Linked DNA regions of Alligator mississippiensis. The protein of the gene in region 1 purifies or fractionates together with the protein of each later gene. This does not show direct contact. Links are inferred from orthologs where the notes say so. Each region holds a gene or a part of one and is shown in the gene's direction. Other genes may lie near its edges. The genes, in order: SLC39A4, AGPAT4, LETMD1 and ABCB10.

Evidence for each region.
Region 2: the proteins of SLC39A4 (region 1) and AGPAT4 purify together in Homo sapiens (affinity purification with mass spectrometry; 3 studies listed by BioGRID and IntAct, with this or other methods). This does not show direct contact. The link is inferred for Alligator mississippiensis from reciprocal best matches to the Homo sapiens genes SLC39A4 and AGPAT4.
Region 3: the proteins of SLC39A4 (region 1) and LETMD1 purify together in Homo sapiens (affinity purification with mass spectrometry; 3 studies listed by BioGRID and IntAct, counting the BioPlex papers as one, with this or other methods). This does not show direct contact. The link is inferred for Alligator mississippiensis from reciprocal best matches to the Homo sapiens genes SLC39A4 and LETMD1.
Region 4: the proteins of SLC39A4 (region 1) and ABCB10 purify together in Homo sapiens (affinity purification with mass spectrometry; 3 studies listed by BioGRID and IntAct, counting the BioPlex papers as one, with this or other methods). This does not show direct contact. The link is inferred for Alligator mississippiensis from reciprocal best matches to the Homo sapiens genes SLC39A4 and ABCB10.

Annotation. Positions count from the first base shown.
Region 1 is NC_081826.1:1,540,415-1,548,517, reverse strand, and holds the start of SLC39A4 (zinc transporter ZIP4), read left to right. Parts: upstream 1-5,083; coding exon 5,084-5,109; intron 5,110-6,001; coding exon 6,002-7,004; intron 7,005-8,103. UniProt on the Homo sapiens protein: Selective transporter that mediates the uptake of Zn(2+). Plays an essential role for dietary zinc uptake from small intestine. The Zn(2+) uniporter activity is regulated by zinc availability.
Region 2 is NC_081824.1:138,634,001-138,641,809, reverse strand, and holds the start of AGPAT4 (1-acyl-sn-glycerol-3-phosphate acyltransferase delta), read left to right. Parts: upstream 1-4,719; 5' UTR 4,720-4,871; intron 4,872-5,676; exon of another isoform or gene 5,677-5,701; intron 5,702-7,809. UniProt on the Homo sapiens protein: Converts 1-acyl-sn-glycerol-3-phosphate (lysophosphatidic acid or LPA) into 1,2-diacyl-sn-glycerol-3-phosphate (phosphatidic acid or PA) by incorporating an acyl moiety at the sn-2 position of the glycerol backbone.
Region 3 is NC_081838.1:10,319,611-10,327,586, reverse strand, and holds the start of LETMD1 (LETM1 domain-containing protein 1), read left to right. Parts: upstream 1-4,949; 5' UTR 4,950-5,002; coding exon 5,003-5,094; intron 5,095-5,236; coding exon 5,237-5,376; intron 5,377-6,573; coding exon 6,574-6,689; intron 6,690-7,089; coding exon 7,090-7,172; intron 7,173-7,976. UniProt on the Homo sapiens protein: Plays an essential role for mitochondrial structure and function, as well as thermogenesis of brown adipocytes.
Region 4 is NC_081824.1:149,023,879-149,031,150, forward strand, and holds the start of ABCB10 (ATP-binding cassette sub-family B member 10, mitochondrial), read left to right. Parts: upstream 1-4,208; 5' UTR 4,209-4,226; coding exon 4,227-4,473; intron 4,474-7,272.

The DNA of each region.
Region 1 (8,103 bases):
CTTATTCAGGTCCATGTATTTAGCGCAGTGGCTGGCGTGCTGTCAATTGGCAGCCTGGCACGGCCAAACCGTGCTTTGGCCAGGCAGGACTGGAGTCAGCGGTCTTTGGGACAGTCCCCCAGTGGCATCAACAGGAAAATTGGGGTGCCCCAAGAAGTATTTTGCCCCATAATCCCATCCTCATCTGACCTTCATTTAGGGCTCTGTACTTGATGTGGGATATTATTTTACATAGTAATCAATACATATGCATAGCTAATGAAATTCTCCCTCTTTAGGGCGTGTAATTCATTAATAACACGTTTTTATTGGGTCTAGATTAGCTTTGAAGAAGGAACCGGGAATAAGGAATAAAGAACTGGGAATAAAGAACTGGGAATAAGGAATAAAGAACTGGGAATAAGGAATAGGGAACCAGGAATAAGGAACTGGGAATAAGCAACCGACTTCAACCTCATCAGTGACGGAGGGTCCCCCGCTTCCCCCCACAGCGAAGAAGTCTCCTGCTCCCCAAGATAAACCACCTTTCCTGCAACTTCCACCCATGGGTCCCCCCTTCATCACCACGCGGAGCGCGGCAGCTCTGCCACTCGCTGCCCTGTGCCGGCGCCTGTGGCTAGACAGGAGGGGGGATTTTCCATCAGGAAAAGAGGCCTGGAGCAGCTCCCCCCAGCCCTGTCCCAGGATGGGTGCCAGCAGGAAGCACCTGGGCTGGGCAGGTGCCAGGCACTGCCTGTAAAGCCTGGAAAAGGCTGGCACAGAGGGTCTGTTGTCGTCACCCCACACCGCCCCTGCATTGCACAGCCCTGGAGAAGAAAGACAGCCTCCTTCCTGCTGAGGAGCAGAGGGGGAACTAGGACACGCACACGCTGGTCTCATGCTCACAGGCACACGCATGTATGCAGCACACGAGTGCCTGTGTTGCACCCTGCTGCAGCAGCGGAAACCAGCCCGGCACAGCTTTTGGCTCCGTGTGAACCGAGTGACCCCTGGATAGCGGGGCCGGGACGGGGACATACCTGGGGACATGCCAGCGCTCCGCTCCCCTCTTGCATAAGGGGTTGGGGGGGCGGCACCCACAAGTGGAGAGCAAGGGGCGAAGCTGGTGCTGAGCTCATCGTACAGCACCGTGCACCGGCCCAGGCCTCTGGCAGTCCCCAGCCCCCACCCGCAGTCTGTCCCTGCCCCGGGGCTGCTTGGTGTCTGCACAGGGGGCATGTACCAGGGAAGGGAGGAGCTGAGGGCAGCTCTTCTGCCTCCCCCCTTACTTCCCTGTCCCATGTCTACCCCCTGGCTTGTCTGTCTGCTTTGCTCCAGCATGCGGTGGGGGGGCACTTCTGCTGCTGCTGCCTCGCTGCCCGGCTTGGCATGCACCCCTTCCCCTGCCTCAGTTTCCCCACCTGGCTTAGCTCAGGGGCAACAAGGCAGGAGGGGCAGAGGGTCATTCCCTCCAGCCCCTTCCCCTGGCCTGGTCTGGCTCCACCAACTCGGGGGGAGACCAGGGACGAGTCCCCCCAGGTCGAGGACTCCCTCGGCCCCAGCCACATCCTGCCCAGCTCCGGGCTGGCTGCAGCATGTGCACCGCCTGACTGCCCATGGACAACAGGCACCTCCGCGGAGCCGGCACGGCTGTCCCTGTCCCAGCTCTGGACCTGTCCCCTGGAGCAGGCAGCGTCCCTCACCACGGCTGTGCCCCACGCATCGTGCATGGAGCACCAGCTGGTGCTGCCGGTCCTGCCCCAGCACCAGCATCCCCAGGGGCTGAGCCCAGGAGCCCCACAACCCCCCCAAGCAGGAAGACTCCCCCCAGCCCTGCCTTCACCCCCCAACAGACCAGGGGTTGCACCCGGGGGGCTCCCACACCCGCTCCCTGGATTGCTGCTGGCTCGGCCACGGAGCCACATTGCAGGCCGTGACACCAGGGTCAGCTTCGGCTGGTGACTGGCAGGTTTGTGACCCACAGGGCGATGCCAACTGGGTCACAATGTCCCGAGCAAGGGGCGAGCCGCCCACATGGGCTGGGCCCGGCAGAGCTGCCAGCAGCCAGCGGGGACGTCCAGCCACCCTGGGGCAGGGAACCGGCGCGCTCCAGTCCTGCCCCAACCTCGCCCTGCCCTGGCTTATCTCAACAGGGGTTTATAGCAGGCCATAAAGCTGCCCCAGGAGGACTCAGCACTTCTTTAATCATTGCCAGCGATGGGGCCAGGCCTGGGAGTGCCTGTCCCAAGCTGGCCTGGGCCCCGCTGGAGCAGGCAGGCTCAGTCTGGAGGGAAGGAGCCCACTGGGTCATCATTAGGCTTCAGGGTCATCGCCGCTGCTGCTCTGCTGGGCACGGCCCCACGGGTCTAAGGGATGCTCAGGGCAGGGGCTCGAGAGGCGCGAGGCCCCCCTGGATATGCTGCGGGGAGCTGGCTGCCCCGGGCCCGGTGCTGGGCAAACCCGGCCCGTGCCCCCGGCTGCCAGCCTCCCATGTAATGCATGGAAATAAAAGGGAAAAAAAGACAGCAGCTGGTCGACCCAGGTGGGACTTGAACCCACAATCCCCAGCTCCGGAGGCTGATGCCTTATCCATTAGGCCACTGGGCCTGACTGCCATGCTTTCCTTCCCAGCTGTCTGGCAATGGGGGTGTCTAGGGCTGTCCCTGCCAGGGCAGGGGTGCAAGACCCTGAGCAGGCAGGGACCCCTCGGGCCCAGCCCCGGCCACCAGCACCACCAGGACTTGGTTGCAAATTGGGGCTGGGTGGGCTGTGGGGTCTGGACCCAGCCCCCCGGGGGGGCACAGCCCAGGCAGGATACCGCTGCCACCCCCAACCGGGGCAATGACATCTCCCAGCTCAACTCCCCCGGTGCCCCCAGCTCCAGGCCGGGCTCAGCTGCTCCAGCCCCCCTTGCACCTGGTGCCACGTGCTAGACCATTGCACCGACCCCGGGTCACATAGCCTTGGACGGGCAGTGCCCAGACCCTGCTGGGCTCTGCAGTGAGGGCACGGGGCTCCCCCAGCCCAGTCCCCTCCAGGAGACCTGCATGGCCCTGACCCCAACTCCTGATTTAAGGGGCTAAACGTCTCAGCAGCAGGCTCTGGAGTGGGGTCCATGCCCTCAGTGCCAAAGCCATGGCAGCGCCAGCGGGTTTACGAGCCTCCCTATCAGCCCGGAGGAAAGTCCCCTGCTGATGAACGGGCCCGAGCGAAGGGCAGCCGGGCTGGCAGGGCGCCTGGCATGGCACAGGGACCGCCGATGCCAGGGCTGAGGTTCAGCTGGGGCTGAGAGCACCTGAGGACAGCGTGGCACAGAGGGCAGTGTCACGCAGGTGTCAATCGGGCCCGTTTATGGTGCTGTTTGGGAGCGCAAGGCATTGCAGGCTCCAAGGACGCGGCCCCCTGCCCCGGGCGCGGCATTGACGTTCCCCGGCACAGCGCCAGGTCTGGCCTGGCTTTGCCCGGCCCCTGCCCTGCCTGCTGGGTGCCTGGTGGGGACTCATGCCTCTCAGGCCCTGCCACAGGAGCCCAAGGCTTTCCCCAGGCCAGCCAGGGGGACGCTCTGGCCAAGCGGGGAAGAGAGCCCAGGAGTCCGGGGGCTTAATGAAGGTCCAGCCCAGAGATGCTGCAGGGGCAGGTTCAGACTCAAAGCTTGTGCCTAGCAACAACACTGAGTGTGTGTGTGTGCGCGTGTGCATGTGTGTGTGTTGGGGGGTGCAAGTACATGTCGGGGGGTTCATGCATGTGTGTGTGTATGTATACATGTGTAAGGGGACAGGGATGTGCATGCATGTGTAAGAATGTGCGTGCGTGTGTGTGTGCACATGCATGTTTTGTAGATTTTATAGATTTCGTAGACATTCGCGCTGGAAGGGCCCTCGGAAGATCACCGGGTCCAGCCCCCTGCCCCAGGGGCAGGAAATCAGCTGGGGTCATAGGATGTGTGTTGGGGGGGTGTACATGCATATGTGTGGGTGTGTTGGTGTGTCTGCATGTGTGGGTGGGTGTGTGTGTGTGTGAGGGCGGCATGTCCGGGGGTGGCATGTGTGTATGCGTGGGTGTGTGCGCAGACATACGTGGGAGGGGTGTGCACACACATCAATGCAGACTGGGTCTGGACACACAGGAGCTGCCCCTTTAACACTGGAGGTTGTGGGGGGCACACACTGTGTACAGGAAGCCAGCCTGGGCATGTGCCAAGTTCCGGGAGGAGCCGGGAGGGGGAGTCCCTCTGGCAGTGACTGCTAGACCGCGCTGCCCCTGGAAGTGGGCCCCGGTGTCGTCAAGTTGATTCACTCCCCAGGCACCGGAGCTCCCCCGCTTTCCTGATAGCTGTGCGTGTTTGTGTGCGTGTGTGAGCGGGTGTGCACGCAGGCTCCGCCAGCTGTGTCATCCCCGCTCAAATAGCCCGTGTGGAGGCCTGGGGCCCCTCGGCCTCGGAGCTGGGGGGTGGCACCGGGCAGAGCTGAGCAGAGGCAGGGCAGCACGGGGGGGGGGGGGGGGGGGTTCTCCCTGGTTCAGGGATAGGAGTGGGCTCCGCTGGCGGGGGGGGGGGCAGGAAGGCCCTGTGCACTGGGATTCCTGGGTTCCAGCCCCAGGTCTGGGGAGGGAGTGGGGTGTAGTGGTTAGAGCACATCCTGGGAGTCAGGGATCCTTGGACAGACACAGCCCCAGCCCCAGGGCTCAGGCACAGCCTCCAGCCCCCACCCCGCATGGGCACCCTGCAGTCCCCGAGGAACCAAAGGCTTAAGGGGGGGAAGGGAACCAGCATGTGAAGGGTTACAAGCCACGGTTGCCCGCCCCCGCCCCCCAGCTACCAAAGGCGCTGCCCCACACACAGGACATGCCGATGCACGCACATGCCAGCGCTGCGCCCCGCCGCAAGCATGTGGACGCCTGCACATGGCAACCACAATGCGTCTGTACCCCGCCTCGACTGTGCCCGTTCCCAGATGCGCTCGCCCCATGCTCCCGGCCACAGCTGGATGCGGCATGGGCTTCCCTGCACACTCACCTACACACACCCATGCCCTGGTCTACAGTGCTTGCACATGTGTGTGTGCAAAAGCATATGCGTGCCTTGTACACTCGGGGGGGAGGGGCAATGTCCTACCCAGACAAAAGCAGGATGTGAGGGAGACAGCTGGGCCGGGCTATGAGAAAGTGCCTGGAGCTCCGGGGGTGACTCAGGATAGGTTCCCTAGAGGATCAAAGGCTTCAGCTCCAGCCGGAGCCAAGGGCAGGCTGGGGGGCAGCTGCAGGGGGAGAGAGCTGCAGCCTGGTGGGGTGGTACAGGGCAGGTGGTGCTAGGGGCAACCACCAGGGGGTGCTCTCCTGCAGGGGGCTCTTTGGGGGTTGCCCCAGGGCAGTGGGGGGGGGAGGGCTGAGCTGCCCCCTTTGCCTGGGAGCTCCTGACCCCTGCGCCCAGCAGGACTGGGGGGCTGGGGCAAGGGGAGAGCTGGTGTGTGCATGTGTGCATGTGCATGCACATGTGCCGTGTGTGCACGTGCGCACGTGTGTCGTGTGTGCATGCGAGCATGTGTGCGCTTGCATGTGCACGTTTGTGTGTATGCATGCAGACGAGTGTGCGCGGGGGCACGTGTGCGGGTGTGCCTGTGTGTGTGCACACCTGTGTGCATGTGCAACCTGCCTGTGAGTCCTTGCACGCGACGGCACCTCCCGGGCTCCAGCTCTGGGCCAGGCCCCGGGCCCGGCGCTCCGCCGGCTGCTGCGGGTCCACGGGGCGGCCGGGGCCGGGGCCGGGGCCGGGGCCGGGGCCGGGGCCGGGGCCGGGGCCGGGGCCGGGGCCGGATCCTGCCTGGGAGAGAGGAGCTCGGCTCGGGCGCTGCGGAGGGGCCAGGGCACTCGTCTGTCCCTCTTTGCCTGAGCTGAGCAAACACGGCCGGGCTCCTTATCAGCCGCGGGCCGGCCAGCTCTTCCCGGCGCCAGCTGGCGCCCCGTGCCCCTGTGACCCAGCCCCGTGGTGACCTTTCTGCCGGGGCTCCTGGGCTGGGGGGACGAGGGGTGGGAGCGGGGAGGCCGCACTCTGCCCGGGCGGGGGCTGCCGAGGGGCAAACACCGTCCTGGGGTGCCAGCCGGGCGCGGACACAGGAGCCGCGAAGCCGTGGCCCCCGCCCCGCAGCTGCCCCTTCCTGCCCGGGGCCGCGCGGACGTGGGCTCGCGGGCAGAGCCGTCCGCCGCTGCCCGCTGCCCTGACTCACGTCCGGCGCGCTCTTCCCAGCACCGACCCCCCCGGGTGCCCCCCCGCCCCAGGCCGGGCCCGCTCCCGGCCACGTGCTGCGCTCAGGCCCTGCCCCCGCGGGAGGGACCTGGGCCCGGCAGCCTCACACCGCGGCGCGGAGAAACCCCCGCCCTGCTCCGCGCAGCGCCAGCCCCGAGCCCCGGAGCTCCAGCCCGGCTCCAGCTTCCCCTGCCCCGCTCCGGCTCCTGCCCGGCCCCCCGCGCCCTCGCCCGGCTCCCGCCCCGGGACCCCCGCCCGGCTCCCCCCGCGGCCCGCTCCCGCGTGCTCCCGCTGCCGCTCCATCTCGCCGGTGCCCGGCTCCGGCTCCCCGCGCCCCGGCTCCCTGCGCCCCTGCCCCGCTCCGGCTGCCGCCCGGCGCCCCTGCCCGGCTCCCGCCCCGGGACCCCCGCCCGGCTCCCCCCGCGGCCCGCTCCCGCGTGCTCCCGCTCCATCTCGCCGGTGCCCGGCTCCGGCTGCCGCCCGGCGCCCCTGCCCGGCTCCTGCCCCGGGACCCCCGCCCGCGTCCCGCTCCATCTCGCCCCTGCCCGGCTCCGACTCCTGCGCCGAGAGCCGCCGCTCGACGCCATCCCCAGGTGGTGCCATGGTCCCCCCGGCGCGGGCCGCGCTGCTGCTGCTGCTGGCGCTGGCCGTGGTGCCGCGGGCCGGGGCCGGGGCCGGGGCCGCGCTGCCGTCGGGAGAAGGCTCCGTGCGCCGCGCGGACTTGGACGAGCTGTTAAATATCGCGGCGGCCCGTGCGCACTGCCCCGCCGGGCCGTGTGGAAAGGTAAGGGCCGCCGCCCGCCCCCGCCCCGGCTGCGCCCGGCCCGGCCCGGCCAAACTCCAGCGCGGACTGAGCCCGGGAGCCCGTGGTGCGTGTGCCCGCACGGCGGGCGTGAGCGCTCTACGCCCCGGGTGCATGCACGGTGTGCCCGGGGTGCCTGGTGTGCATGTGTGTGCATGCCACGGTACGCTCAGTGTGCACGCGCGGTGCAGGCATGCTCGGTACGTGTGCACCGTATGCAGTGTGCGTGCACCATGCCTGTAAGCCTGGGGCATGTGAATTATGGGCGCTCTATTCCCAGTGTGTGTCCCCAGTGCCAGTATGCCTGTTGCATGTGCGCTGCATGCAGTGGGTGTGCACAGGACACATGTCCCTTGTATGTGTGCATGGGGTATATATGCTGGGGTGTGTGTACTAAATGCCCAGTGCATGTTCACTAGATGCCCAGTGTGTGCACGCTGTGTATGCATGCTGGGTATGTGTGCACTGTATGCAGTAGGTATGCATGGGGTAGGTATGCCCAGTGTGTGCGCGCTGTGTATGTGTGCTGGGTGTGTGTGCACTGTATGCAGTAGGTATGCACGGGGTAGGTATGACCAGTGTGTGTGCCCTGTGTATGTGTGCCAGGTGTGTGTGCACTGTATGCAGTAGGTATGCACGGGGTAGGTATGCCCAGTGTGTGCGCGCTGTGTATGTGTGCCGGGTGTGTGTGCACTGTATGCAGTAGGTATGGACAGAGTAGGTATGCCCAGTGTGTGTGCACTGTGTGTGTGTGCCGGGTGCGTGTGCACTATATGCAGTAGGTATGCTGGGGTAGGTATGCCCAGTGTGTGTGTACGGTATGCCAAGTGCATGTGCACCATGTATGTATGCCTGGTGTGCATGTACTATGTGCCCAGTGCATGTGTCCATGGTATAGGTATACCTAATGGAAGTGCACAGCGGATATATGCTCAGTGTGTGTTTGTGTACGCAGGCCAGGTGCAAGTGCAGTCTGGGGGCCCAGGGCGTGCACGTGCACCCCAGCGCACAGGGCTGTGTTGTTCGGCAGCAGGGGCCAGGCAGACTGGTTTGGCCTCCTTCCGTCTGCCCTGCAGGCAGG
Region 2 (7,809 bases), on another chromosome or scaffold:
CAGCCCTGGGCTTTATAAGGGCCAGGCCCTGCCTCCTACAGGCAGCTGGCTCCCCTTGGTTGCTCCGGCAACCTGCAGCTGCGCTCATTACCTGAGCAAGCCTCAGCTGGGCTCGTTATGTCAGGCCAGGGCACGCTCACTCGCTCCCTGGCAGTTTCTCCTTTCCAGGAGCAGGGGCACCGAGGTGCCCTGCGACAATCAGATACAGCACAAGTAGATAAACAAGTAAACAAACAATAATTTTCTTCATGGGCATGTGCAAACTGGATACTTAAAGAAAGTAGAGAATTCATATGCATATACAGCCTTTTCATGCAGATAAGTGTACATCCAAATATTGGGCCTGATCTGACAAAAAGCAGCTTAGGACACCCTTTGAAAGTACCACCCTCAGTATCTTATTAATGTAAGAAATGGTGTTCTTTTAAAAGCTCAATGTGCCAGTTATAAATTAGTCCTTGTGGATTTATCCCTAAAATGAATCCAAGTTCAAAGGAAGAAACTCATTAAGTGAATTCCTTCTCAACTCCTCCAGTCACCAAATATCAAATGCATGTTTACTAAACCTTGTAAAGGACTGAGTCAGGCATACACCATCTTAAAGTCATGTCTGCATTCAACACAGCTTTACTGATATGAATCCTCAATGCAAGAATAAATCTATTACAGAAATAACTGTGCCCCTGGGGTATGACTTCAACAGGTTATTTTTGTTCGTATGTGCTCTGCATATATGCAAGCTTTCCTGTATAAAGATAGTGGAATCACTAAATGACTAAAATAGATGAATTGGTACAGGTTACACTTAAAATGGTATACACTAGAGAAGTCAGAGATTCACAAGCGTTTAGAGCTGAAAGGGAACTCGTAATATCATCAGGTCCAGCCCCCTGCTCTGGGCAGGAAAGACTGCTGGGGTCAAATAACCTGAGCAAAGTGTGCATCCAGTCTCCTTTTGAAGATCTCCATGAACTGTGAAGTTTTTCTTTATATCCAGTCTGACACCTTCTTCTAGAAGTTTATAACCATTGCTGCTGGTTTTCCCCTGGGTCACTCTGGTGAATAGTTGTTCATCCAGCCCCTGATGTTCACCCCTGATATATTTGTAAGCTGCCACCAAATCCCCCTAAAGCCTTTTCTAGGCTGAACAGTCCCATATCTGTCAGTTTTTCCTCATATGGCTTGCTTGTGGATGATTAACTTGACTAGGATGTGATTAAAAAAAAAAAAATTCACCCTAGTTGTCATAGGCAGCAGAAAGGGGGGGGGGGCTAATGGGGCTTAGACCCTGAGACTCAGGGCAGTGGTAGGGCCACAAGGCAGCCCAGCCGCAGGCTTCTTGCAGCTGCAGCAGGGATGGGGAGGGGCACACGCGCAGTGGTGAGGAAGGGAGTGGGAGTGGGGCTGGAGCTAGGCAGGCGCTGCACAGCTGGGGTGCAGCATGGGACTGAGCCATGAGTGGCTTGTCCAGGGGGCACAGCTCCTGCTGCTATGTGCACCCTGAGAGGCATGGGGGCACACTCAGCCCCACTCCCAAATAATTTTTTCTTCCTCCACCTGTACTAGTTGCATTGATACAAGCCCTAGGCTGGATGCAGTTATACCAGTATACAGATACCTTATCTCAGAATAAACTATGCCAATATAAGCATTTTTGTCAATTTATATTTATATCAACACTAAGAATTTTATTGCTTTAAATGTAGCCATGTAGGTAAAGCAGCAGACGTTGATAGTACAGCCAACCCTTAAGTTGTGGTTAAATTTATTAAATCTAATCCTTTGTGCAGTTATATAGATATGTGCTAATCCACTCCAGCTGGTAAAAGTAGGAGAGATGCACTTTTATTCCATTTGGTCTCACGTAACTAACGTGCTCTGCCTGGCATGGCTCAAACAGTTGTTATGGACAGATTGAGTTAAGATCAGTAACTTATTTCATGCACATCACCCAATAGTTGTCAAGTGATGAGCTAGGATCTGGTCTTCTTGCATGTTTAACATGACAAGGTCATGATCTTGATTAGAATCATTGATTATTACTTGATACAAATAATAGAGTTCTATATGTGTGTGCAAAACTAAGTAAAAAACTCATGATTAAGGCTACCTAGCGCAACACACAAAAACTCAGAAACATCAAAAATGCCCTGTGTAGCCTGGATTTAGTTCCCTATCTACTCTAGATATTAATTACATGCTCAGTTTGTTCAGAAAGTTTGACTCATTCATTGCTCAAGTTGGGTGGGTCTCGGGGAGACAAGGCAGCTGTTCATATTTCTTTTCTGTTATCAGTGTTTATTTGGCTCCAGGCCATATTTCCTGTACATTGTGCAAACCCTGCTTTGAATACAGAAGTATTACTTTCTTCATGGCTACTATTTCCATTTTACAGATGGGAAACTGTGGCAGAGAGACTTCAGCCAAAACTGATAACTTCCATTGATTTGGGGTTCCTCAATGAGTGGATATCTATTCTGAGACATCTGAGATCTGATTTTTCGTAGGTGCTTTCATAGGTGCTAATGAGTGCACAGCACTGATCCCCTTCAGCTGCACCTCTCCATTGTTCTGCAGCTGGAGTGAAGATGTGTTGCTCCACTTGGGATTCACAGTTCAGAACCACCTCTTAAGGGTAGTTCCTTTAAAAAAATATATATAATAATATCCCTTGTTATTTTTTTTTAAATGCAATAAGGGCCACTCTTGTTTTAAAGCATGGCTGGAGGAAGAGCCAAGCAGTTTAGCACTGTTCAGACTGAGGCATTTCTAGGCACAAAGAAATGAAGGTTTCTAGAGGATGTTTAATGTCAGAACCTGTCTCATGACTTTAGATGCCTGTAGGATGAGGAATCAGGTGCCACTAGACCAATATGGCTACAACCTGGATACCCGCAGGATGAGGAAGCAGTCGAGAAGGGACTTTTTGAGATTGCAATTTTGGATGTAAGCATAACATTTGCTTAAATCCTACTTTAGGGCCCCAGTCCCTTTTTTAATGTCATTAAGTAACTTACCAAAACTCATATATTGAAGGAACCAAGAAAAAAATCTAGTTTTCCTAGGTCCTTTACCACTAGTTTTCCTAGGTCCTTTACCACTTCAACCACACAGGTTCTAGTATCTGATGCAAATGAGGCAAGGAACCCGCAGACAGCACCCTCATTTATTATGAACCTGTCTACTTTAGGCACTAAACAGAGCTGTAAAAAGGAGGGGAAAAATGCAGTCATGCAGTTAAAAAAATGCAGTCATGCAATTAATGCCCGTAAGAATACCCACTGCTTCCATGGTATCTTTTGTCTATAGATATCAAAGCTCCTGAGTGTCATTATTTCTGTTTTACAAGTGGGAAAAACTGATGCACAGAGGAAGTGACTTGCCCAAGTCTGGTTACCCAGTGGATCAGTGACAGACATGAGACTACAACCAATATGTCTTGTTTCAGCCCGGTGCTCTACTTGCCAGGTGGTGGTGTTTCTCCTGTGCTTCACACCTCTAAATACCAGTACCGAGAACTCTTATATCAGGCTTTGCTTCATTTTCCAGTTCTTTGTGCATCTAAGAAGCATTGTTCTTGCCATTTTCCATTCTGTTCATTCATGAAAGAAGCTTTTTCACTTTGCCATCAAAGACTGACAGTAAATGTTTGGGTTTCACAGATGGTGAATATCGTGTGTCAGGATACTCAGCACTTGGAAGCCAGCCATCTGAAAAGGGTGTTTATATATATATATATATATAGATATATATATTTATATATATTTGCTTTGTCCAGATCATTGAGTAAGTATATCTTAAATCTAGGTGGTGGAGGGTTTTCTCTCTGAAATGCCTGTAGGAGACACCTTGCACCCCACCCTTTTGAGAGAGTTGTATTCATCACCTTACCACCTATTCCACTTGTTTCAGATTCACCCTGGATACCACATTAGTTCCCCTAAGGGATGGTGCTGAGCATCCATGGCAGCTGTTGAACATCCCGTCTGAAGGACTCGGTGGCACTCTTCCTGGATTGCCCCCATCTGTCCCATTCTTGTGTCCGGGGTTTTACACGCAGCCTTGAATCAGCATATGGGGATGCAGCCAGCACTGCTTGCTGAAATGCCATTGTTCTCATTCATGTTCAGCATTCTCAGTGTAATGACAACGTGCTGTTACATCGCGCTCTGCCTGTAACTAAATCCTGGATTTTTGTTTCAAAAGTTCTGGTCCTGTTTGTGCATTTGCTTTCCTTGATCAAGCTGCTGCTTCTCCTGTGCTTCTTAATAACTTCCAGGGGGGAGAGAGGATCAAAGATGCCCATCTTGGATGGCATAATGCAAATGGAGTGTAATCCTCTTCAATTAGTAATGATCTAATTTAGCAAACGTGCTCAAGTCATGACACTAACACCACCATCAGCCTGGGGAAGAAAGATGAAGCCTGCCTAAATGGAAGCGCTGGGATTAAGTGTGTGTGTGTGTGTGGGAGGGGGTGATCTACAATAAAGCTTTGCCTGCATTGTGGCAGGAGGTTTTTGTAGCAGTGCTTTCCAACGGGAAACAAAAGCGAAAGACTTACTTCCTCCTGCTAATTGATGGGGGGGGGGGCGGGTGAGTCATGCAGATGTTGCATTAGTAGCCCTCTCCCCTGGACTGCTGAATTGTAGCTTTAAAAGGAAGTGACATGGGGTAGGGAGAGACGTCAGCTGAGAACCGCTCTTTTTTTTTTTTTTTTTGATTTCAAGGCCCACCCCAAGGGTGGAGTCTGGCTTTCTTTCCAGTCTTGGCTGACTTACAGCTCATTGCAAACTAGTAGCAATTTCTGAGTCTCAGAGCCTTTCTCTGTCTGGTTCCTAAGCACATATGTCAAGGTCTGGCAGGCACAAGGTATGTGATGATTCCTGTTACTTTCCAGAGAACTTTGCATTTGCAAGGGGGCTGGTCTTGACTTCACTTGATTGCCTATATATATATGTGTGTGTATATGTGTGTATATATATATATATATATATATATATATATATATATATATATATATATATATATGTGTGTGTATATAAGCATTGAAACAGTGAGCGTAATGAGGCAAAGGACAGGCAGGGGCAGACTGCGAGGAGAGGAGAGGAGGGGTGCGTGTGCTGGAGCAGCCTGTGCTCGGAGGCAAGTTGCAGGTTGGTAGCCTCCTAGGGAAGAACTTTGATTGCTCCCCCCTCCCTTGCTTGCTCTTGTCCTTCCCATTTGTGCAGTGCCTTCATCTCTGTTCTCCTCGTGCATTTCATCCCTTTGTTTGGGGGGGAAAAAAAGCTGAAGCCAACGAGAATCTTCCTGCTTATCTGTTGATTCCCTTTGTGTCATGCACATGCTCGCTCTCTTTCTCTCTCTCTTCCTCCTTCCTCCCCACTGTTTCCATAGAAACTACAAAAATTCCCCAGGCCTTGCCCTAAATATTATCCATATTTCTCACATGATGTTGCACTTGTGCATATTCTGCACGGATTGATATTTGCTGGGATCCAGCCTGCATTTGTACTCTCCCCTTCTACTTTCATTTTGGTTTTCCCCTATCACAATAAAGGGTGGGGGGGGGGGGAGTAGGGAGACTGGGGTTGCTGTGGAAACAGACATTTGTGATCATCTATTTACAGCTGCTTTCAGCAATGTGCTTCCTATCAAGAAGCCTGTGTGGAGCCTAAATAATGAGATGTTTTGAATGAAAGGTATGTAGGTATATAAATAGAGTCTATTAATTTCCCATTGCACCTAGAAGAATCATACAAAGAATAGGAGTGGTGTTTGCAAGGAGTGAAGGACACTCTGCATTTAGCATGTTCTTGATTTGTTATAAAGATTTCTTTCTTTTTTTTTTTTTTTTTTTAAATGAAGATATCTGAGCCTATCTAAAGTAAAGTGAAGACCGCTCTGCCTGAACACTGTCACATCAGCCTAAATCTCCAGACTCCAGAGCATTGCTTGGCACTTGTAAGATGCTCCACTAGAGGATTTGCTTCAACAAGTGAATGTTAACTTGAGTACAAATCCTTGTTAACCGTACTGCAGCTGTTCTGATCAGTGTTTTCTGCTTGGCATTGTCTGTGTGTAATTGTCTTCCATTTGCAAGAGCTGCACATCTGTAAACCCAGAGATGCAACTCTAAGAACAACAGTGAAATTAATGCAGGCACTTGTTCCAGGAGGCTGTAACCTTAATCTAGAGCAGTGGTTTTTGAACTGTGCCATTGGGTTCTGTGATGGGTCATGGGGGTAAGGAGCTGGGAGGTGGTGCGCTGCTATTGCTGGGTCAGGTTGTTGGCCAACCTGGCCTACAGAGCCAGGGTAGGGGTTTTGCAGCAGAAGTGGTATGCAAGGGCTTGGTGACTTCAGGTAGTTTGGAAACTGCTGATCTAGATTCAGCATTGCTACTCCAAACTACTAATCGGTTACAAAAGGGGTGTGTGTGAAAAGGGGAACAATAACCCATATACTTCTGAGAACTGTGATGCAACCACAGTGGCACTTGTGCTAACAGTATAATCTTAATCTGGATTGTTAATGACTGCTGTTGCAAAAAAAAAAAAAAAAAAAAGTGGCTCGCTTGCCTAAGCGAGTTAAGTTCTGCACTGTGAACTGACAACACAACAGCAGCTCTGCCCCATAGAGTTGTTCTCTGTGTGTGCTAAGTGTGAGTGAGTTCTGCTTTTGCAAATAAAGACCCCTAGTGTAAAAGCAATCTGTGAACACAGTGTCCATGCAAGAGTTAATGGAAAGGAGCTCACGAGTTGTATATTTGTTCCCTTTGTCACTCTGTAGTAACTTGCTCTTAGAGAAAAAAGGTTTAACTCTCTTCTTCTGACCCCATAGGAAGGGGCTAAAGTGAATTTGGCTTCAGATGTCTCTGATTCCTCTCTTTAGAAATGGTTTGATTTAAGATCTGAAACTTGTACTGTATCTTTCTCTAAACAGAGATGCGTGTTGTGTCCTCTTACTGCTTAATCACACTTTTAGCCATTTGAAACCAGGGAACAATGAGGCTCTAGGTTCAACGCCCTGTGTAGGGAGGCATGTGTTTCTTTGTATTTACGGATGTAATCTTGGCAGTACTGAACAGATGAGGACAAGTTGAAATTTGACTGTTGTCTTGAGGAAGATCATATTGCAAAGTGTGCAAGGACTTGCACAGAGAGAAAATGTTCCAATTGGCTGGTGGATGTACCAACTAGCTCTCTGCCAATGTACCGAGTAATTAAAACGGTTTGTAATAGGCAGGTCTGTTCCTTTAAGAGGAAACAGCCCAGTTGAGAGAGCTGCTGGGCTTTTGGATAGTCAAGGGGGTGGCTGTGATGGTGGTTCTCAACTGGTGGTCTTTGGGATCCTTTGAAGGGTAAGAGAGAAGCTCAGAAGATAAACTCAGGCTTGTCTTTGCCTGGCATTTCTCTTGCCCCTACTGCCTGGTCGTTCTGCAAAGGGGTAGGCATTGCTATACATACACTTGTTTTGGAAATGGGGTGCCACTCAGTTAACAAAAGTGATGAAAGGGTGCTTTGAGTCTAAAAAGGTTGAGAACCATTTTGTTAGGAACTTCAGGAAGTTCCCAGAAAGGTAAGCATGAGAGGAGGAAGTAAGGTGTGACTATAACTGCCTGCTCCCCTTGTAGCAGGCAATCTATGTTGGAAGGCAGAGCCAAAGAGCTCCTCTGCAAGTGCATGGGACCGGGCAGAAGTGTTTTTCTGTTGTCTTTGTTGCCTAAAGACAGTTGCCAGAGGACTGACTGAGGAAGCAAAAGCACACCTGCAGAAACCAGCAGGCTAGGTAACCTCCTTACAATGTTG
Region 3 (7,976 bases), on another chromosome or scaffold:
CTCACCGGCCATTCCTCAGCCGCCGGCGCCGCCGCGCCGCCATGTCCCGGCTCCTGCCTGCCGCAGGCGCGGCTCGATGACGTCAGAGGTCACGGCCGGGCTGGGCCCCGCCCCCCGCACGTGGCCCGCCCGGAGCCGGGCGCGGGAGACCGTCGCGCCCCTAGCTCCTGCCTGCGGGGAGTCGATAAGCCGTCCCCGTTGAGTTAATCTCTCGTAACCCCCCCCTTGCTCCTGCCCGAGGTGTCGGTTACGTTATTAGGACAACCAAATAGTTGGGAAAAAATGGTCGTTCCAAGCTTTCAGACACAAACACCCTTTTTCAGGCATAGGGAGATTGCCTGAAAAAGGACATTTGTGCCTAAAATGCTTGCAAAGACCTTTTTCCCCCAACTATTTTAGTTGGTTTAATAAAAGATATCACATCTACCCAAAGAACCTAGCCTGCCTATGTCCTTAGACCAGGGACGGGCAATTATTTTGGGGGGAGGGCCGCTTGCTGAGTTTTGGCAAGCCATCGAGGGCCGCATGACAGGAAGCCAGGGGCAATTAAATATTAATTTTCTTAAATTTTTTAGGGGCCCCGCGGGCTGGGTAGAATGGCCTGGCGGGCTGCATTTGGCCCTCCCCTGCCTTAGACCTACACGGCTGCAACCAACAACCCTCCAGCTCTGAGATTTCACTTGTTTTTGACTACAGAAAAAGCAGTAGAGCAATTCCTCTGTTGCCAAGAACTCAGGAAGACCACGACAGGTCACAATGTTTTATAGATCCCTATATGAAAACTCTGAGCTTATCTCGTGAATCGTGTTTTCACACCAAACTGCTAAAATTGTGTTGCACCCAGCACCACCCTTGAAAGGAAAACTGCACAACTTGCATGGGCTGAAGTTCACTTCATATCAGGGCTTTTACTGAACCAACTACATGGTTGGGGCAGACTTAGACAAGCTTTTGCATGCAGGGCATTCTTCTTTAGGTCAGGTGAGGGCATACCAGTCTATCCCAAAGTGCAGTTGGTCGAATAACAGATATCAAAACCATCAAAATCCTTCCCTTGCATATTTTCTGCACCATCATGGCAACATCACTCCCATACCACTACTATCATTACTATCCATTTTGGTTATTTCATAATAAGAAGTAAAAATCCACTGTAATTCTTCCCAAACAGAATTTGTTGTCTTTGCATAAACATGTATCTAACTTTGGTTTGGATTTAGAAGAGATATATATTTTAAAGCTGATATTTTGAGCAATAGAAACATTCTGGTGGATTTTTTTTTAATGCGAAATGTTCTGTGGGAGAGAAATACTGTTTCCCTCAGAGCTCTGTTGTTATCTCTGTAGTCAGTGCGATTTAAAAAAAAAGAAAATTAAGCCATTTTCTGAAATTAATTTTCTGAAACCTATCAAGCAGAATTGTTCCATGTGTGAAGTAATTTGGAGACGGAGCAGGACTGGGAATGGCATCTCTCCCTGGTGATGTTATCATAACGTACCAAGAAAGACCTGCCATTACACACAATCTGATCCCCGACATGGAGAAGACTAGGCAGAGAGACTGAGAAAATAAAAGGAGGCAGAATCTTGGCAGCTGACATAAGAAATACCGAGATGTGATCCCATAAGTATCTCTAACAGATACTTGCTTGTCTCTCTGGAACAGGACAGGCATACAGAAAAGGCAACAGGACCAATCAATGGCTTTTAAATCTTTGCTGAAATTTGGATAGAACAAAATTCACATTCCTTTTTGAAGCTCTACCTTTTTCCCAATCAGACAAGTGTTGCAATGCTTATTCCCTTCTGCTTAAATGCATGAGAGCACAAATAATAACCCAAGATATTATCAGGGGAGCAAAATTACTGAATCCAGCAAAGGTAAGAGGGCAGCAAATCTGTGGGGCTCTTTGCTTCTGGTAAAAGCAATAGTTATACATTTCAGTTTGGGGATTAAAATTGCACAAACACCCCACCTCTCCCCTCTCAGCAGGAGTATGACAATATCACCCTGTTAGAAGAGCTAGGAACAGGATTGACAAGGCTGGATCAAGGCCAAGGTTTATCTAGACAGATAGTGTCCTATCTCCAACAGTAGCCAACACTGATGCTTCAGAGGAAAGGTAAAGAAAATCCAAGTAGCTAAGTACTAGCTTTCACCCAGGGAGTTTCTTCCTGATCCCCCCAGGTTTATGTTATGAAACATGCAGATTTATTTCAAAACCTCCAAAAAGGTTTAGAAAGGATAATTTGGAAGAACAGCCAGTAGCTTCATTAGACATCTAAGCAAAGGCACTTCCCTAGAGCCGATCCCTGAATAGCGAGTAGAATGGAGCTGGGGGACGACGACCCCCCAAGAGATTTATTCTTAGTTGAACAACAAAGTGCTCCACACTCAGATGATTCCATAGTTTGGCAAGGCCTCCTACAACCGAAGGAAATGGACCCTCTAGCTCTTCCTCGTGTTGCATTACTTACCCATTTCGCAGGCCGGAGGGCTCTGGTTTATGGACTGTTTGTTAGTCATTTTGTGAACCGGGCAGACTCTTAGCTTGCAATTCCCAGGAGAGAACAGCACAGCCTGCTCTCCCCTCTCTATATAACAAGTGCCTCCACCCAATAAGATAAGGGTACTTCACACTTGCCTTGGACTGGCTGGCATAGGGCAGAGCTACTTGAAAGAGGCTTGAGAAGTTAACAAGAATATTCTCCCAAGCATAATTGAGTCTATCTCTGTGCTACAGTAATTGATGACCTGACAAGGTGGTTATTAGCAGGGAATTAATTGGAGATGAGAAACTTTGATCAAGGGCATTCTCCCGATACAGGTAACTATCTGATCTTGGGTACAGTGAGTTATATTCACCTCCAAACAAATGCTAGTAGTCAAGGATACTAAATTAAAAAGTCATTTGGTAAAACCTCAAGTACCACCCAGGCAATTAATGCATGTGACACGCTGGACTTTGCTTCAAAGGGACCATTTTTCAAACAGATTACAGCCAAAACTGGCATGGCTGCACATTTTTGAGGTACGTGCAGCACTGATAAGATGTCAGTCATCTGTTCCATCAGCTGGAGAAATACAGCACCAAGTATCGCTGGTCAGTGCCAACCAGGAAACCTCATGAAGTGGGATGTGAACAATTGATGACCTGGAGGCTACTGATACAACCGACAAGCTTCTGTGCGTTTCTTCTGATAAGCAAAGAGCTGAATGTGCTACCCTTGAGAGGTACAGGGGAACAGGGCAAGGGATGATTAGAGTGCAACCACGCTACCATCTCAGCCTTTTCATGGATACCACGGAGGAATGGTCCCCAGTCTCAGCTGGCCTACAACCACTCATGCTGGACAAGCAACTCCCTGTGGATAACAGCAGCCTTGTCTCTCCTTGCCAACATCAGTCTAAGCTTTTTAATATCCTGTGGTCACGAGCAATGTTGGAGGGTCCTGTGGGCAACGTATAGCCTAGAAGCTGTGGGTCCAGGACCGCAGCTATCCAGGATTACTTGGGCTCACACTGCTGTGCAGCAGCTCTTTGGCTGTCTAAAGACACTGGGTAGAAAGCCACCATATTGGACAGGCTCTTTCTCCCTTCTTTCACTCAGTGATAGGCAAGTTGCTACTCAGCGTGATAGACTACTACAGGGTAAAAGCTGGGATAGAAATTTAGCCCCTGTAACAAAGGAAGAAGCCAAGTAGAACAAGCCAATGTTGTATGTTTCCAGATCGGGCTTCTCAGTTTCCACCCCTCACCCCCACTTCACCTTGCTCTGAAATAAGACACTGGAATTGGAGACCAGATACAAAACTGGGCAGGACCCTGCTCAGAAGAGATAGTTTGGGAACCCCTGCTCTGAGGTACGTGTACCCCTGTGGGTATACAAAGCATCTCTGCGTGAGGGGGTACACAGGAGAAATTGTTTAATAGCAATTTAATTTTCATTATAATTGGCACTTAAGGGGTTAAAATATAAACCGTATGCTGGTAGGGGCATGCAGGCAGCTGGTTAATCTGGAAAGGGGGTACATAATAGAAAAGGTTTGGGAAACTCTGAGGTAGAGAATCTGCCCTGGTAGCACTGGATGAGTTTTGCTCATATTTAGGGTGAACCTGCTCACCAGAATTCAGGCCAAGTAGGATTTTTCCCCTCTGAACCAGGGAACCTGGTTTACCTGACCTGTTCACTGCCTTCCCCGGCAGCCTGTTGGGATCACAGAGGCCCATGGCACCTCGCCACTCCTCTGCCCGCGCGGAGCTCAGGGAACGGCGCATGTTTCAGTCTCTTCTGTCCTCCACCTGCAGCGCATATTTTAGTTGTGGGAGGACCGAAATGTTGTATTTTCTTCTTTATAACAGCAAGTCTCCAATGCCTGAAGAAGGGCGTTTGTGCCCAAAAGCTTGCAAAGACCTTTTTCCCCCAACTACATAGCTGGTTTAAGTATCACATCTACCCAAAGAACCTATTTTCTTCACGTACAATATGGACCCTTCCAGGGACGGGAGTGGGGAGTCCCCTAACAACTGGGCTCTACTTGACTGAAGCCCCGGGGTTAAGGGAGGGCGCCTGGGGGCAGCCGGCCTGACACACAGCGGGGCCTGTCCCAGAAGCGACGCGCGGGGCAGGAGGGCAGAAGGAGGCAACTCCTCCCCCCGGAGGAGCTCGTGCAGCTCCGCAGGTCGCCAGGCCCGAAGCCCGCGCGGACGTGACGGCCGCTGCGCCCCGAAGCCAAAGGCCGCGGCGTGTAAAGGTCCTGAGGGATGATAACCGGTCAGAGCGCTCGCGTGCCGAGCCCACGTGCCCGCCTCGCCCTACTTCCGCCTGCGGTCACGTGCCAGGAAGGGGCGGGGAAAACCGTCCCTCTCTCCGCTCCGCGCCACTTCCGCCTATGGTCACGTGCCAGGAAGTGGGGTGAGGCGTGGGGAAGGCGCCGCCATTTCCAACCAATCCTCGAGTCCGGCGCTGCCCTTTGCCCTTTGGCCTCGCGGCGGCCCAAGATGGCGCTGCCCAGGCTGAGCGGTTGCTGGGGCGCTTTGCGCTTGTTACCGCGGGCGGGGCCCGCCTGGCTGCCCGGCCGCGGGGCGGTGAGGTGAGCCGAGCCCCCAGCTCCCCCCTCCGCTTCCCTCAGCGGCCGTTATGGCCGTTTCCATCCCCCCGCAACGGCCCGGCCCGTCACCCCGGGGTGGGGGCGGGGGCGGGGCGGGTTGTCTGCAAGTCCCCTTCTGCCGCAGGCCGCTGTCCTCCAAGCCCGACCCGCGGCCGCTCCTCAGCGCCCTGCTCAGCTCCGTGAAGCGCGCCAGCGGCCGGTACGAGCGGTTCCTGGAGAGGCGCTTCCCCCGCTTCTACCTGCTCTACGCCACGTCCCACCGAGGTAGGTGCCCCTTACACCAACACGGGTGCAGCCTACTTGCCCCGGTATCCGAGGCGCGTGAACGAACGCGCCTTCGACCCCCGCGCTCAGGTGCCGGGCTCTGGCGTTGCGCGGACGTGCTGATGAGCACTAGACAACAGCAGTAAGTTATTTCTGAGCAAACCCCCGTGCTGTGCAGCAGAGCATGGTGCCGCTTCCCCCGCTCCTCAAAGCACGCAGCTCTTCCTTCAGGAGACGCTGGTCGGGTAGCGGGAAAGCATGGGGAGCTGAGGTAAGGGATGGCACTGTCCGCTGGGCAGTGTCCTCCCCTCCCACGGGCCTGAGCCCCAGCAATCCCCCATCAGCGCTAAGAACCTGGAAACCAGTCGGCTCGTTACAGGCCAATCATCAGCCTCAATCCCTGCCGCTGCGCAAGGCACTAGTTAATTAGTTGAAAAAAAAATTAAATAACGCTACAGAATACTGAACTTCTTACTTTGTATTGATGAGCCTCAAAGTATGACATTTCCCTTTCTGATATTACTTAATGTATTAACGCAGGGTAGAGCTATGCTTGTCCACGTGGCCCTTGGCTCGTTTCTGGTTTGAAGGTTTGGCCCACTTGTTAAAAAAAAAAAAGAAAAGGCTGAGACCACTGCTGCAGTGTGTCCTACAAAGGAGAGTTTCTTCAGTCTTTTAACACGGTTATTCTGAAACATTGCCAGCCCGTTACAAACCAGGCGCTCAGGTTTCACTGACTGTTGCGCCGATCTGCTCTGGCAGTTCTTGTCTTGGCTGAAGTCAGAGTTTGCAAAGTCACCGGGAGAAGTAGTCCTTACCTCTGAAGAGGGGAGGGGGAGGAAAGGAGATGAAAAACCTCTTGCCTTCCTCTCTGTACGACATTTTGATGATTCAGAGTACATCTGCAACCTAAAGCTTTTGGCTTCCTCACCAACTCCCTCTCACATTCTGGCTGCTGCTTTTGATGGACTGGGTTAGATGCTGATTCCACTTCTCCATCTCGCCTCTCACACAACTGTCAATTGTGGCATGTATGAAACCATGCATGATGCATCCCATTATACTGTCACACACTGCTGTCAGCAGGCAAACTAAAGGGGAGGTAAAAGTTTGCAAAGGGGCTTTTTTTTTTTTGCTTGAGCTGGATGGGGCTGTGCTCAGCACAAGGCTTGAAGGTTCTCTTTATATTCTGCACAGGATTTAAGGCATTGTTTTTGGAGGCAAAAGAAATCAGAAAAATAAAGATTAACATGGCCCATCAGGGGATCAGTTTTCAGCAGCTTCCCTACAGAGACATGGAGAGACTGAGACAGGTGGGCCCAGCTTCTGAGGTTCTTCAGTATCTGTAAGTTGTGCTGAATTTCTCCAAGAGTCAGTTGTTTTGACTGAATTCTCCAAGCCCGATGGGCAAACTCATCCTCATCACACGTGCTTCAGTCAAGGGAGTTCCCTGTTCTAGGATCTCTGCTGCCCACCGCCCCCAGACGGCATTTTGGTTTATGAGTGGGTCAGCTGACTGTTTAACCCAAGGCAGCCTGGTAGCTGGATCTGGTGTATAACACTCCTGGGCCTGTTACTGAGCATTTCTCACTGAGAGCAGGGTTAGAGAGAAGGTGGTGGGTTGGAGGCCATCTCTTCCCTGCCCCATCCCCAACTGCCACTTGGGTTTCACTTGCTTGCCGGCTGCTAATCGTTGTTTTACTTCTTGTGCAGTTTCGCAGGGATCTGATCAAGGCCATTCCAGTATCACTGCTCTCCCTTCCACCTTTTGCCAACTACTTCGTCTTGGTGCTGATGTAAGTACATCCTTCCCAACCTTCCCCCCAACCATGCTAGGGCCAGGGCCTTGTCCTGAATAGAGGCTCAAATGAGGATTGTAGTCATTAGGAACTGGAGCTGACTCGTGCCCTCTCTTGGCGTTTCTTTTTCTGTTTCTCAGATGACGCTTGTGCTATTCTTGGCAGCCCAATGAGGGGGGGTTGCTACAGAACAGCTGTCTTTGTTCCTCCAGAGACTATTTTTGCAGCCATTAAAGCAACACTTGTATTCAGTCAAACTATAGTTTCCCAGTCAGATAATTTTTCACCCCACTTGAGTTGTTCAGTTGCTTGTCTAAATTGAGCAAACACAGAAAGGAAGGGCAGCCTGTTTCCTGTCTATCTGTCATTGTCTGGGCACCAGACATTAGCTGGGATCTGAAATTTTCTATCAAATTGATTTTTTCCCTCCTCCTGTGCATATTAAGTTTCCATCCCTAGGTTCTCCTCCACAGGAGACCCCTTGCATCTCTCGGGATGGTCTCTGCTCACTACATACAACTATGCAGGGTTACGTGTTTTCAGTGTCCCCTTGCAGCAAAAATAAATATGTATTAACAAATCAGACAGGTTTATTTTTGCCTGAGGATTCTTAAAATCCCTGCCCCATGCCTATGTCTTTCATTGTAACCTGATGAACACTGCAGACCATGTTGGCATTTGTGATGCTCGCCGTCACGTCTAAGTAGATTTGCCATCAAGAACGAGTTCTCTTGGACTCCTTGCAAGGGTCCAGACTTCCTGACTCCCTTTCCAGCTGTCCTCCCTCCACTCTGCAAGTGC
Region 4 (7,272 bases), on another chromosome or scaffold:
TTAGAACACTATGAATACACATGAAAATTGCCATAATATTTTTTTTTTTTGTCTGTAAAAAAAAAAAATCTGACAGAAAAAGAAGTGTTAAATCTGCTAGGAGTTTTCATACTTTCTGTAAAAAGTTATGGTTCTATCATTTTAATCTTTATTTAATTGGGTGTTCTTTGAAAATAACTTTAATTCCAAATCTGCTCGGTACTTGACCGAGTCTGCCATGGTGTGACTACCTGTCAGACTGTAATACTAGCATGAATCAGCCTTGTAAAAATTCCAAGATTGAAAGTTAGCTAATTTATCAGGAATTTATTTGTTCTTGTCTAGACATCTACACCTCAAGACCAAGTATATGCCCAAATTGTTCCTGCTACGCCAAGATCCATGTGTGGAATCTCATCCCCTTCACATAGGTACGGATTGGAGTGCCACTGCAGCACAGGCCACATCCTCCTCCCTTCAAGTACTATGAAGGCTCCCCGAGGTCCAGTATAAATGCAGAAGGGAAATGGGTAGTCTGGGCAGTCTCATCCAAGAGTGGAGAGGTACAATATCACTTTCTTTTCTGGTCTGATAGAAGTACAAAAAATAATTAATCCAACCCTTGAACATCTTTATTCTGAGGATTGCCACAGGAACCCAGGGACCCTCCCGAGGGGGAGTGAGCGTAGCTGGTGCAGAGGCTCAGATTTTCCATGTAACACTGACCTCCTGTTTATCACACAGGATTAGTGAAGTTTGGGAAAAGCTTTCCTAGGGTGATGGTGCAGAGACAGGAATTCACATTGTTGAGAAATTAATTTCCTCCGGGTTTTAATCACCGTAAGGGTATATTCTGTTGTACTCAAGTTCTCCAACACAGCATTTCATTGCAACATGGCTGAGACCTTAAATTACAGGACTTTCTATTGGTATAATATTCTTGTGAGGTTTTGCAACCCTACACACCAAGTTTCTTCCAGCTGTGTTTCTTGTTTGTATGTTTGCTTTGAGACTTTTTATGGGCCATCTATGGCCTTTAGAAGAACAATTGGTTTTTTAGGAGAGAAGAAAAATTCAGTTATCTGATACCTTCCTAGATAAGGAATAGGCAGACAAGGTTTATTTGGGGTAAATCTAATATCTTTTATTAGACCAACTCAAATAGTTGGAAAAATTTTTCTTTATAAGCTTTCAGGTATAAATACCCTTTGTCAGGCTGAGGAAGCTTCCTTGCTTAAGGCAGGGGCCTCAGCCTGATGAAGGGTATTTATACCAGAAAGCTTGCAAAGAAGAATTTTTCTAACTATTTGAGTTGGTCTAATAAAAGATATCAGATTTACCCAAAAAACCTTGTCTGCCTATGTCCTTAGACCAACATGGCTACAACCTATGTACCCTAGATAAGGAATAGCGTTTCATGAAAGAGTAAAGGTAACCTACCAATTGTAGGATTTGGGCTGCATGAGGACCAGTGAGTGTGAATAGAGATTTCTAATTTTCTGGTTAGCAGATTTTATTGGTTCATGTTGTGTCCTTGACTTTAGAGTGACTGAAACTTGTACTAGCAGTCACAGAATTTCAAATACTCAAGCCTGCATGTATCCTATGTGGTTTGAACATTCAAACAGACTAGAAGTTTGTGCTGTTGAAAGAAGGTATTTTTGTTTTCTGCTTTTTTTCTTTTTTGCGTGTGTGTATGTAACGATACGGGCAACTAACACTCAGAAGCTTACTGGGGGTTTAATTTGCATTTGGAAATCTTCATAAGGGAAGATGCAACAGGACCCTGTTACTATATTCTGTGAACTTTGACCATAGCTTAGCACTTGCTAGGAAATGTAGTCCCTTGAACATCTTTTTTATATGCTACATAGGAACACAAGAATTGCCACACTGGGTCAGACCAAAGATCCATTTAGCCTAGTATCCTGTCTCCGACAGTGCAAATAGTGGATGCTTTAGAGGGGAGTATAAGGAACAGTGCAGAGTGATCGGCTCCCTGTTTTACCCACCTAGTCACCATGAGTATGTTACATTCCACTCCGTTGTGTTGAGTAGCCCCTGGCAGACCTATCCTCCATATATTTTGTCTAATCCCTTATTGACCCTAGTTACACTTTTGTCCTCCACAACATTGTATGGCAATGAGTTTCATTGGGTAGTTCCAGGCTATTTTTATTCATTCTATTTATTGCTGTTGGACATTATTTCTGTGATGCTGAACATTGCATTAATGGGATAATACTGCATTATCTTATTTGTCACCACAGTTATGACACTTATAAAATGTAGCTTCATTTGATTTGGTACAAAACAATAAGTGCTTATCCTTCAGTATTGCCCAGCCTACATAAGAAATCATGAGTCAAGCTCAAAAAATCATGAGTTTAAAATCATAACATTTTAAAAAATATTAAGTTTAGGTTTAAAATCCTTTCGGACTCATGCTTTCAATCTATTCTCTCTAATGTTGGGGGGTGGAGTTTTTTTATTAGATGAAGCTTGAAATTCTCACATTTTAACATGATTCTAGGAGACAAGGATTTAGAAAGAAGAAAGAAACAGCAAAAACTAGCAGCGCTGGAAAGCTAGGGGACACTGGGAACTCTACTAAAGATGAGAAAGGATGGACTGTGTTGCTGTGTATCAGATATAGCCACTGCATCTCATAAAAAATCACAGAGCATCTCATACAAAAATTATGGCTCCTTTTTATGACATCTAGCAAAGTGACAAAAATATACACTATAAACCTCCAGCAATACTACTGTGCATGTTATGTAAGGCCATTCATCACTGCCCAAAGATGCCAATAATCATTTCCATTTGGCTTGCGAGTCTTAGGCATACTCCCCATAGAGGTGGTACATTCATCCACCCTGACAATCTTCAGAATGTGTCTTGATGCCCTCCTTGCTGGTGTCATCTGATCTTGCCCAGGCAGTCTTTCTTGCCCAAGCGCAGGGGCACTGGACCAGATAATCTTGTAAGGTCCCTTCTAGCTCCTAACATCTATGAAACTATGATAAAATAGTCAAATACTGCTTGTACTTAGTTCATGCATACAAAGTCTTGCCTTCAGCCAGAGGTTCCCAATTTTTTTTCTTATTGTGTACCCCCTTCCACATTTACCTTTTGCCTGTGTTCCTGTACCAGTACACGTTATATTTTAACCCAGTTAAATGCCAGTTATTATCATAATGACAATTAAATCTGCCATTACACAATTTCCTAGGGGTATGCATACCAGTTTGGTGAACCCTTGTCTTAAGCAAAGAGATATATGGTGATAAAACCAGGAAAAAAAATAGTTTTGGTGAGCATTTAATGAGCCAGTTGTTTGGTGTTCCTTTTGTGACTGACTGAAAAGTTATTTTAAAGCCAAGGCTATATTTTAGGGGTAAAATATCATCATCCTAGTAATCATTGTCTCTTCGCACCAAGTAAGTTTGTGTTATATATGTCATATCTATCTATAGATCTGGATATGTCTCTCTCTCTCTACTGCATTATATAGTTTGTGCTATATATTATAAGCACAATGTAGCAGTTGAATAGTGGAGAGGTACACATGTACACTAACAGAAGTGTGTACACACACACACTTTGTTTAGTTTATAGGTACAAATCTATCCTCTCTTCTCATCACACCAGACTGGGAAAAGGAACTGGGATGGCACCAGAACGCCTCTAACTTTAAACCTGGATGAAGGAGTTTTAAAATGAGAGGCTTTTCCCCTTCATGGGAATTGTTCTCAGCTCCTTCCCACACAGCAACTGGAACATAGCTGAAGAGTTCCTGTTGAAAGGGCTCTGAATGGTTTGTGTGTCCACAACCTGAGATCCGACAAGGAGCCCAGAGGAGAGACCAGGCCGGTGAGCTAGCGGAGATGAGGAATGGCGTGGTGTCACTATGTGTGTGTGGAGGTGATGAGGGGGCAGAGGCTTGTGTGTGTAGATTTGAGGAGGGCAGAGGTGTGCGTGTGTGTAGCGATGAGGGGAACAGAGTGAGTGTGTGTGGAGCTGAGGGGGACGGAGGCACGCGTATGCAGTTACGGGGAGTTGAAGGGACGGAACGTGAGTGTGTGCGGGAGGGGCACAGGCGTATGCGGTTGCGTGCGGCGGCGGGAGGTGTCTCCCCTCCCCCTCAGGCGCCGGCTCACAGAGGGGCGGGGCGGGCTCCCGGGGCCGTATGAGCCGCAGCACCGCCTCCTTCCGCCCCGCCCTGCTCCAGCCACTGCCTGGCCATGGCAGGCCCCGCCGCTCGGCTGTTGCGGCTGCGGCTGACCCTGGTGCCGGCCTGGGCCCGTGGCGCGCCTCGCCCGCTGCTGCTGCCGGCCGGCTCCTCCTCCCGCGCGGCCTCGGCCTCGGCCTCGGCCTCGGCGGCGGAGCGCGGCGGCCCGGCAGGGCTCGAGCCGCCCCTCGGCGCGCACCGCCACCTGCGCCTGCGGGAGCTGCTGGCGCTGGCGCGGCCCGAGCGCGGCCGGCTCGCAGGTACCGCGGGGCGGGGCGGGGCGCGCCCGGAGGGGCCCGAGGGAGGCAGAGCCCGCGCCCGCTTCCCTCCCCAGGCGCCGGCCGGAGGGATGGGGCTGCCCAGCCAGGCCTGTGTTGCCGGCCTTTGCTGGTTGTCCTCCCCCCGCTTTTCGTGCTGCATCTGTCAGGGGCGTTTTAAGTCCCCCCTCGGAGGCTTTGACTGGGGGTGCCGCCATGCCTGCTGGGCCCAAAGTGGGGTTCCTGGATAGAGGGTCTTGCCCCACTGCTTGGGGTCAGGCCCATTGCTGCCTGTGGGGTCGGGAAGGCATTTGAGGCCATGGTCAGAGGGGGCGCCTACATGATACAGGGCCATAATTGTAGCCCCTCAGAGCAGCCTCGAGTCTGCCGGAGCAAGGCGATTACCGTGGTCCCACATCTCGTGTATCCGTGACCCTGCCACAAAAAACAGCAGCGGAGGCCCTTTAACTAAAGCTCGTTCCAGCTTGAGTTAAAGCACCTCCACTGCCTTTTTTTGGGGCAGGGATGCTGATGCACAAGATGCTGCCCAGGCACTTTAATTAGAGAGGCTGTCAGGGCACAGACAGAAGTGACAGTTTTCGCTGGATCTGGCTGCAGAAAGCGGTCTGTAGCTGTGACCCAATGCACACACCCAGCTATAGACTGCTTTGAAAATTTCTGGGTGAAAATGTTAACCCTCTTTGCAGGAGGGTTCAGAAGAAGGCATTTCAAAAGATAACTTCTGTAACTTGTGTCTGCACTACCTGAGTTGCTCTAATTAAGGCACCCCCACACACATGCTCCTGGAGCATGTTGTTGCCCTGGGGGCTCTGCCTTCCTCTGTAGTGAGGCCACAGGCCCCTGGATCTCCTGAGTCAGGTGTCAGCAACGTTTTTGGGCAGGGTGCCAAAAACGCCCACAACCTTGACTTGTAAGATACTGGCATGCCAGGGGTGGATGGCAGGGGAGCTGCAAAGAGCTCAACCCTTGTTGTGGCAGTGCAGCCTTGGCCCCATCCCCACCGTCCACCCTGAGGCACGTGTGCCAAGCAAAACGCCTTCGTGTGCCACATTCTGGCACCCATGCCAGGGGTTACCTACCCCTGAGGGTATATTGACGAACAACCTTTCACAGAAGCAGGATGTTGGCTGCTGTGGTTTCCCTGCTCTACCTGTAGCAGGTGGCGGTGTTCAGTCTGTGTTGTGTCAGGGTTGACAGCTGACTTATGTAGAGTTTAGATGATGGTTTGGATAGGGGTGGTCCTGCCTCAGGCAAGGGGCTGGACTAGATCAGTGTTTTGTTTTTTTTTAACTCATGGGTCAGAAGAATATATGAAAGGGTTGCAAACAAATTTAAAAAATGGATTTTCCTTTAAAGGAGAAAAATGTAGGAAAGCACGGGCAGAGCTCCAGCCTGCAAGGGGCTGCTTGGGGCCCACCATACCCCATACATATCTCCCCCAGTGTGTGGGGCTGGGGGGTCTGGGGCCTGGGGATGGGGGGGCAGTGGGTCAGGAGTGAGGGGTACCAGCAGGGCTGGGGGCTGTTTTCTACTTAAATTATTTACTAGGTCGGGACTGGCCGTCGATGTTTACAAATGGGTCCTGATACAAAAAAGGTTGAGAACCACTGGATTAGATGCCCTCTGAAGGCCTGGCCAGCCTGACTTCTTATGGTTTTATGATTTTCTGTCATTTCAGTGACTCCCAGCCACAGGTCACAGCACCCTGAGGTCTTTGGGTGCCCTGAGGTCCTTTCAGGGGTGTTGCAGGGTGCCCTGAGGTCCTTTCGAGCATGCTGCGGGTGCCACACAATGTTAATGCTGGTAGCAAATGTAGCTCATGAGATTAAACCCAGAGATTTCAAAGAAGGAATCTGTCGTGTTAAATCTGTTCTGCCTCTCTGTGGGCTTCCTGAGTTGTTTGCACCAGAAGAATTGATGTATTACTACCTTTCTGTGGTCAAAGAATAAGTGAAAACAGTTTTCTAGGGGCACCCTGATTTTTATCAAGGTGTGCCTTAAGTCTGAACAATGTTGAGAACCACTGCTCTGAGGTGCAGCCCTGCCCTGCCTGCTTCCTGACCTCACAAAGAAAGCAGGGCAGGGTGTCCTCTTTGGCCACATCCAGACAACTATGGACATGCAGTGTGTGGGCCGCAAACCCATCTGTGGCTCCACACACCGCATATGCAGGCATTCCCTGCACTGCTACCTTGCTGAGTAGGGATTTTTTTTACTCCGGGGCGGCAGCGCACACCACCCATAACCAGAGTGTGGCTGGCCAGAGCCACACTCCAACTATCGGCCAGGCTCTCAACTGCAGGAATGCTGCAGCTGGAGCTCCCCCAGGTCCCCAAGACTCCAGGTGAGGCTGCTGGGGCCAGCACAGTTGCTGGCCTCAGCCTCCCCTACCCCACACAGAGTAACCTGCCATGCACCAGAGCACCTGTGGCTCACGCATTCCTGGGGACAAGTAGCAGCATCACCAGGTGCTGGAGAACTGAGCTGTAGACAACAACATGAAGTACAAGAAAGATGGGTGTGCTGCTGCTGCTTGTCCCCAAGGAAACAAATGTCCGTGTTTGTCTGGATGCAGCCTTAGAGAGCAACTCCAGTGCTTGAACCTCTCCAGTGATGGGGATGTTAGAAATAGCGTCCTAGTTAGCATCACATCCTTCTAGGAAGTGTTGGAGTAGTCAGGCTTTAGATGCTTTGTGCAGAAAAGCCCCCCTGGCCCCTTCGCTTTGAGGATCTCTAATGTGTGTGGCAGGGGACCATCCCTTTGCAGCTTTTTACAGGCCT